Sus scrofa: one gene and its partner. The main gene of each other region encodes a partner of the protein of the gene in region 2 in a complex. Links are inferred from orthologs where the notes say so. Each region holds a gene or a part of one and is shown on either strand. Other genes may lie near its edges.

The links.
Region 1: the proteins of CSK (region 2) and PAG1 are in contact, whole or in part, in an NMR structure (PDB 2RSY), measured with the Rattus norvegicus proteins. The link is inferred for Sus scrofa from reciprocal best matches to the Homo sapiens genes CSK and PAG1. Residues at the interface, in NP_001025210.1 of Rattus norvegicus: Thr88, Arg89, Glu93, Arg107, Ser109, Thr110, Asn111, Tyr112, Thr117, Cys122, Glu123, Lys125, Val126, Glu127, His128, Tyr129, Arg130, Ile140, Asp141, Tyr156, Asp161, Gly162; in NP_071589.1 of Rattus norvegicus: Phe291, Ser292, Leu294, Tyr296, Lys297, Ser298, Arg299, Glu300, Glu301, Leu305, Ile310, Met313, Tyr314, Ser315, Ser316, Val317, Asn318, Lys319.

Annotation. Positions count from the first base shown.
Region 1 is NC_010446.5:55,449,945-55,453,757, reverse strand, and holds the start of PAG1 (phosphoprotein associated with glycosphingolipid-enriched microdomains 1), read right to left. Parts: upstream 2,935-3,813; 5' UTR 2,416-2,934; intron 1-2,415. UniProt on the Homo sapiens protein: Negatively regulates TCR (T-cell antigen receptor)-mediated signaling in T-cells and FCER1 (high affinity immunoglobulin epsilon receptor)-mediated signaling in mast cells.
Region 2 is NC_010449.5:58,752,719-58,756,623, forward strand, and holds the start of CSK (c-src tyrosine kinase), read right to left. Parts: upstream 2,317-3,905; 5' UTR 1,942-2,316; intron 1-1,941. UniProt on the Homo sapiens protein: Non-receptor tyrosine-protein kinase that plays an important role in the regulation of cell growth, differentiation, migration and immune response.

The DNA of each region.
Region 1 (3,813 bases), on a different chromosome or scaffold from region 2:
TGTGAGTTAAGCACTTTGCATTCTTTACTGCTCAACGCAAATTTCCTCATCTGTAAGTTCAAGATAAGGATGCACATATTTAATTATGTTATTATGAGGATGAAAGGAGAAGAGATGGAAAAAGCACTGCGCAAGTCCTCAACTTGGGCCAAAAAGGACAGGATTGGAAAGAGACAGACCTGGGTTAAAATTTGAGCTGCGATTTCTCCTATTTGATCTTGCTGAGCTCCAGTTTCCTCATCTCCAGAGTGGCCATGAAGCCACCTACCTCGGTGAGGAATTAAAAGGGAGAGTAAGTCAGATGCCAGCTGGTGTCTGCATTACCAGGAGGTGTTGAATAAATGTACCTGCTCTCCTATTAAACATATGAACTGCTTCTGTTAGCCTTCTTCAGCAACCATTTGATGGCTGCAGGATCCAAAGACACTCTTCCTTTCTTAACAGTGATCATTTTTACCCAGTTTAATAAGCCAGACACTGGTTCAGTGGCATTACCTCTATGAACTCAATCCTCACCACAAGCCAGTGATGGAGGTACCATTAGCCTCATTTTACAGATGAAGACACTGAGGCACAAAGTTTAAGTAACTTGTCCAGATTCAAACAGATGGCACCAGAGCCATCGGCATGGCTCCCCAGTCTGTCCTCAGAACCATGATGAAGGAGTGCATATGGGGGTCCACTTGTTTCAGCTTCCATGCTCAGATATAATCCCTTCTAGAGATAAGCAGCAGATGCTCTCATCAATTATAATGTGTTGACTAACTTTGCAACTTTTGAAATAACATTTTGTGTATTTTCTTAGACTTCCTTAAAAAACGATGATATGTTTTTAAATGAGGTGCCTCTAACTAGTTCATCTTGTTCCATGTGCTAGAATACCATAAATAAATGTGCTTCTTTTTGTCGAGATTACGTAAATAAACCTTACACTAAAACACAACCCTGAGTTTTTGGTTTCAACGTTTATTACAAGTCCAAATTTTTAAAAAGATATATTAGGCCAGTCTTAATGTTATTTGTTTTGTTAAACTAATGACTTCCATACCAAAAAAAACCTGAAGTCTCCTTATTTCTAATATTCTCTGTCTTAACAGTCACAGCAGTACCTCGTGGTATTTCAAAGTATTCCTTGTACAAATTTAATCAACTCCAATATTAAACATCAGTGATGATAATCTATTGTTCTGCTTAAAAGAAATCTCTGGGGGACAGATGAGAGAGAAAGGTTAAAGAATTCTATCCTTCAAAGAAGGCCAGGGCAGCTACCTATAAATCATGCTCTTTGTTTATTAAGATAATTAAGCCCATCAGAACACTTAACTTTCAGACTCAACAACTGCCTGGTATGAACAATTTCCACTTTTTCTAAAACAAAAGGGATGTGTTCAAAGGGTCCTCTGCAAGCTCCCTGCACAATGCCTGCTATTTTAAAACATGATTTATGTGTCTAATTCCTGGAGCTGCCTTGAAAAATATACTGGGTTTTTCCTCGAACGCTCCCTATTAGGAGAAGACACTCCAATCCGAAGAGTGCACTCTGTTTCAGACTACAGGGCGCTATATCATGTCAGCATTTTCATTAAATACATTCAAGCTGGACTTTAAACAAATGGAATGAAGAGCCACAGCTGCAGCCACTGCAGAGAGTCACAGTTATCCTGCCGAGAGGCTTACATAAGAGGTGCAGGACAGTCAGGGTGAGACCCAAGTGTCATCATCTCAATTCCACTGCTTTGAGACTTGCCCACATCCTTACAGTGTATGAAATCACATACACTGCGCCGATTTCTCATTTTATCTGCCTTATGGCGCAAAAGTCTGGGTTGATATATAAGTTGTTTTTCCTTGAAGGATTGGGCTCCAATTACGGAAACGGTGGCAACTTCTGCCTAGGGGGAAGAGTAAAGTGGGATGTGCGCGGGAAGCCGGGAAGCCTGGAAGCCTGGAAGCCTGGAAGCCTGAGAAGGAATGACTTAGCTCCCATCCCCAAAGAGCGAATGCACCCAGGAATATTACTGGAGTCACTCCCCTGGGGACCTGGGATGGAGGTGACAAGAACCGCCCCCCCCCACCCCGCACGCTCTCTCTCTCACACACACACACACACACACACACACACACACATTCAATGGGGTCGGAATGTGCAATCAGCAGCAGGCGAAATGCCCTCGGAGCACCTGTCCTCTCACAGCACATTTCCAACTGGCACGTTCAGCAAAGGCTGGAGCCAGCCCGCGCTGCACCGCTGCCTCTCCCCGCGCGCTCTGTCCACGGCTTCGCACCCTGAACTCCCCAAGCTGGAACCCTGCTAACAAGAGGGGCCACCCCCGGCTTCCCACGGCGTGAAGATAGTAAAAGCGAACCTCCCCTTCCCACGGCGCTCTCCAACTTCAGAAACTACAGTCAACTTACTGGGACGCAGGCGATAGGGAGCCTTCTTCGGGGGGACCCGCGCTCCGGCTGTGCACAGCCTGGCTGGCTCCGCACTGCCCCGGCGGCGGCCAGTGCGGGGAGAGGCGCTGGCGCTCTGCACCAGCTGCCTGGGCTCCGAGATGCCCGGAGCCCAACACTCGCCAAGGCGCACCGCGCGGCGGCGGCGACAGCGACAGAGGCTGCACCCGGCCGCGCAGTCCCGAGCGCTGCAGCTGCCCCAGCCCTGGAGTGCGGCGCTCCGAGCCCCTGGTGCGTGTCTCCTGCTCCCAGGGAATCGCGACTCAACAAGGAAGGCGGTCAAGGAAAAAACCGAAGAGCTGTTGCAGGGGGTAGAGCTGCCAGCCCGTTCCCCAGCGATCCGTCACACAGCCCGCGCGCCGGCGGGCGAGCGAGCGAACAAGCTGGCGGACAGGCACCGCAGTCGGCACTCGCCTCGGCGCCGCGGAGAATGACAAGCGCCGAGGCGGTGCAGCGGTGCGGGGCGCCGGGCGCGAGTGCGCATGAGCCCGGCCCGCTGCGGCACGTCACCGAGGAGGGCGGGGCGGGGAGGGGGCGAGCCGGGCGGGGCTGGGTGGGGGTGCGGGGCGGACCCGGGCGCGGCGTCCTGCTCCCTCTCGGGGAGATACAGGAAGTCTCCCGCCCAGGGTTTTGTGAACCTCAAGCTGTGTGGTTGAACTTGTTTGTCACCAGAGTTCATTGTCCTTTCAAAACCACTGTTTACTCTAAGAGATTTTTAGGGCGCGGAGGGCCAGCCCACAAAAGCCAATTTAACTCAGGTTGTTTAGGGGACAATGTACCTTGGCTGTACATTAAAATAATTTAGGGAGGTCTTAAGAGCCCTTTTGCCCTGGCCGCACCCCAGAATCTGGACTAGTAAGTAAGTACCTGAGACTCTCAGGATGGGGCCCAGGTACCATTAGGTGGTAAAGCTTCCCAGGTTAATACTGGGGTTCAGCAAAGTTTCTCAAACTTTTAATGTATGACAGAATCTTCTGGGGATTTTGTTAAAAAGTCGGGTTCTGATTCAGTAAGTTGGGGTGCAAGGGGAGATTCTTCATTTCTAACAAGCTTTCAGATGATGCCAGCGCTGCAGGTCCAGACCACCTAATCTTTGCTTCTGTAAGTGTGGTCTAGAATCTGGAGCAGAGCTCCTGGTCTGCGCAAAAATCACCTGAGTAGCTTTTTTTTTTTTTTTTTTTTTTTAAATGCAGAGCATATTCCTAGGCCCTACCCACACTGGTTGCAGTTCAACCGCTGGGCAAAGCTGGGGTTCTGGAATTCCATTCCTAAGGAGGACTCAAGGTGATCTGATATAAGTGTTGTCTGAATCAAACTTGAGGATATTAGATTAGCACCTAGGAGCTGGGAATAGACTTT
Region 2 (3,905 bases):
GCTGTCCTGCCCGCTCAGGCTTGTGGGGGCAGCCACGTCACTCTGCAGGCCCTGGTCCTCTGTTTCTGTCTCTGCCTGCAGTCTGGTCTGCTCTGGGGTGGCTCAACCCCTTGGGGCCTGGTGTCCCCTGCAGTGGTGCTGGGGACCATCTTCTGGTCCTTCTCTGTCCCAGACCCCCGACGCAGAGAGAAGAGCAAGGAGGAAGGCACCAAGGTGGCCAGATAAAAAGGGAATCCCTGCACATATGTTTGCCAGAAGACAGACCCCTAGTTTCTACAAGGGCCTCGGGACCCCAGGCTGCACTCAACAGTTGGTATAAAGGCACCCAATGATGTCAGGCTTCAGCCCCAGACCCTCAGGCTGGAAAGGAAGTTAGGGTTGGGTGAGGGGAGCCTCACCGGCCCACCACATCTGTATCCCCTCCACCATGCATGTCAGGGCAACCGGAAACAACTCTAAATCAAGGGCAGAGGCCTAAGCAAGACAAAACTGCCAGATGCCCCGAGGGGCCCCAGATATGGCTCAGTATCCTCCAGGGAACCTCCCACACTTCCAGGAGCCAGAGGATGCTGCCACAGTCCCAATCTTCTTCCTGCTGCCTTCACCCTGTTCCTGCGGGGCCCCACCGAGAAAGACATTGGGACCATCAGGGTGTGGGGAGCTTGGAAGAGACCCCCTGGGTGTGCTCGCTCTGACAATGCTCCTATGCCAAGGCTATACGAGGCTTGCTCCCTGTGGACACAGGGCTCTCACATTCTGCATCCAGATCCATTCATGCTCCTATACCAGCTGGGCCAAAGGGTCAGGAATGACGATCAGGCTGTTTCAGCTCAGCACCAGGGCTACACCCCACGGGTGCCCCCGCATGCCACTTCCCGTCAGTAAGACCCAGCCTCAAGCACCAGAGGGAAATCCCATGGGCAGTGCTGATTCGGTCTGAGCCCAGACCCAGGCAGAACCGTCACCGGAAGCCCTCTCCCTCCTCTCTAGCCCTCTGCAGGGGAGCACGTGCTCACCCCACAAGGTCCCATGGGCCAGGCTGGGGGCTTATGGCCCCAGTGGGTAAAGGCTTATGCCTGGTTTCCCTGTACCCATAGCAGTCCAGGTGTTGTGGGGTGGTGGTGGGAGGGGATGGATGACGGAGGGACAGACAGCCTAACTCTGCCAAAGGCCTGGGATAGCAACTTCCCCCTTTGAGCCTCAGCCCCCCAGCCTACAAAATGGGAGGGGAGGTGAACCCTTAGTTAAGCTCCAAGGATCTGGTAGCTGGACACACCCCTTCCTGACAACTGGCCTGGCCTCCAACGAGCCTGGGAGAACAGAAAGGGCTGACCAGGACGCTAGGAGGTGGGGACCCACCTCCTAATGCCCAGTGTCACCTCCACCGAGGCCAGAGGCCCTGCCTAGTTTCCCACCCAAGGGTCAGATGTCCCTGGGCTTAGGCCTGGTCTTCTAAAAGTCCGAAGATGATAAGCTCAACCTCTGGCAGGCTCAAGGGAGGCGGCTGGACCCTGGGCCTCCGCAGAGGGAATGAAGGAGGGGTCAGAACCAGGCAGGCCAAAAAACCTGCAGGCCTGCAGGGAGGCCCTGGGCAGGGAATGGCAAACAGCCCATTCTCCTGGGCTCTGGTCCACGCTGACCCCTTCCCCTCCGCTCCAGCCAGCCCCAATACGGGGAAAGGACAGACTCCGGGTGGCCTGAGACAAGTCTGAGGGGCTGGGAGGGCAGTACCTCCCTCGTGAGCCCCCCTCCCAGACGGGCTGACAGTGACTCCCGGGAGATTTCGAACCCGGGAAGGAGGGGGTAAGGGAGTGGGGGATGGGTGTGGACGCCACGGCAGCTGCAACAGAAGCAACAGAAGCGGGACGTACAACCTCCACCCGTCTTCCCCTTGGGAAGCACTCGGACGCCCACCTCCTTCAGGGCCTGCCAGACACTCACCTTTTTCGGGGCACTGCGGTCCGGGCCACCTCGCTGCGGGCAGCATCAGCGGCCTGCGGGACGGTCCATGCGGCCAGCCGAGAAGGGAGGGGCGCAGGGGTCCCCGGGGGGTGCGGTACAAAGAGGTCTGGGTGCGAAAGGAGGGGGAGGAAGGACGGCCAGACAGAGGCAGGGGGATGGCTGCGCGGCCCGGGTCGGGGAGGGAAGAAAGGCGGGGGAAGGGGGGCGGGAGGGACTCAGGGGGAGGAAACAATGTAGCCGGTGAGGCCCCGGCAGAGTTCCGCTTCCAAACGCCGACACCAAGGCTCGATCTGGGGACGTCGCGCCGGCTGCCCCGGGCTGCCCCGGACGCTGGCTCGGGGGCCGCAGGGTCTCTCCACGTTCCACGCCCCGGAGACTCCTGCGGCCAGAGGCTGCCTGGAGCGGGAGGGACGGCTGGCCGGGGGATAGCCCCGACGGCGGCGCTGCCGGGCGATGGCCCAGCTCGGACCCCACCCCGGCAGGACCTCCGGACAGGGTGCGGGGTGGGGCGGGAGCGAGAGGGCGGCGGCGGTCTCAGCGGCGGCGGCCAAGCTCGGCTCGCCCTGGGCTCCGCTGGGAGGAAGCTCGCAGGCCTGGCGAGAGGAAGCGCGGCCCCGGATCCTCCGCCCGCGGCAGCGCGCCTGCGCGAGGGAGCCAGCCGGGAGCACGGCGGGGCGTGGGCTGGCGGGAGGACAGCGCCCTCTGTCGGGATCCCGGGGCACTGCGGGGGGTGTGTCCGCGCCCAAGCCCTGCCCCCACCTGCCCGCCCGCGTCGAAGGCTTCAGAAGGTCCCTCACTGAGGGCCGAACAGTCCGCCTTGGAGCAAACGCCAAAACTTCCCTGGGGAACAGCTCTCCCTATGCAGAAGCGACCTCCTTCTTCTCGTATCTTTTTGTGGAGAATGGGTCTCGCTCGCAGCAGCATTCATTCATTCATAGGTGTTTCCTGGCGCTGATGTTGCGACAGGCCCTGTAATGAAGACCGCTTCATTACTGCCAAGGAGTTCCCAGAACTGGCAGGCCAGCAGACAAGCGCTAAGAAATAATTGATAAAAGTGAAGAAGTGTGTACAGGTCCACAAGAAGCAGAAAAGAGGGAAGGGTAATGGGCAATCTTCATAAAGCTGGGACCCCAGGCAGAAGGAACAGCATGGACAAAGGTAGGGAGAGGTGAGAGCCATTTGGTGGCTCTGGGAACTGTAAATAGCTCAGTATGGCTGCAGTTTGCAGTGTGGGTCCAGGAGAGTCCTGGGAGATGGCGTCCCCGACAGCCGCGGAGACAAAAGAGATCCAAAAAGACTGATGGGACTTTTCTTGGACTTTGTTTTCGAAAAGCCTGGCAGCAATGAGGAAGTTGTCAGTAGCTATGTGACCTTGGGAAAGTTACTTAACCTCTCTGGGCTCTAGTTTACCAAACAGGGAAAGTAACAGCACCAACTTCTTAAGGTTTTGTGGGGAGGAAATGAGTTAATACATTTAAAGAGCTTAGCATGCAGTGGCAGGCACATGGTCAGTCCTTAGCCAAGTATTGCCTGTTATTATATATTACAGTTAACAGGATGTCATCTGCTCTGAGCTACAGGAGCTGATGTGCATGTGGGGGGGGGGGGGAGCATACAGTTTTGGGGGCAGGGCAGTGATGGTGGAAAGACCAGAGACTCCAGTGTAGGTGGGGGTGGGGGGGCACTATCCTAGGGACTGGGCCCTGAAGGAAGAGTCTGGTTTGGGTGGGCAGAGGGGAGGGGCATACTGTGGTGGGGGAAATGAGGTGTACTTGCAAAGTCTTGAAATTCAAAATAAGTGAGGGGCTAGGGACTGAGAGGGACAGTAAAGGGCCCTGTGGGAGAGTGAGCTGAATGTGCAGTGTGGCTGTACATTGCACAGAGAGGAGTTGGGTTTGCCTCCCGAGACAGACCACAGAATGGCCCTCCGACCCAGTGCACCC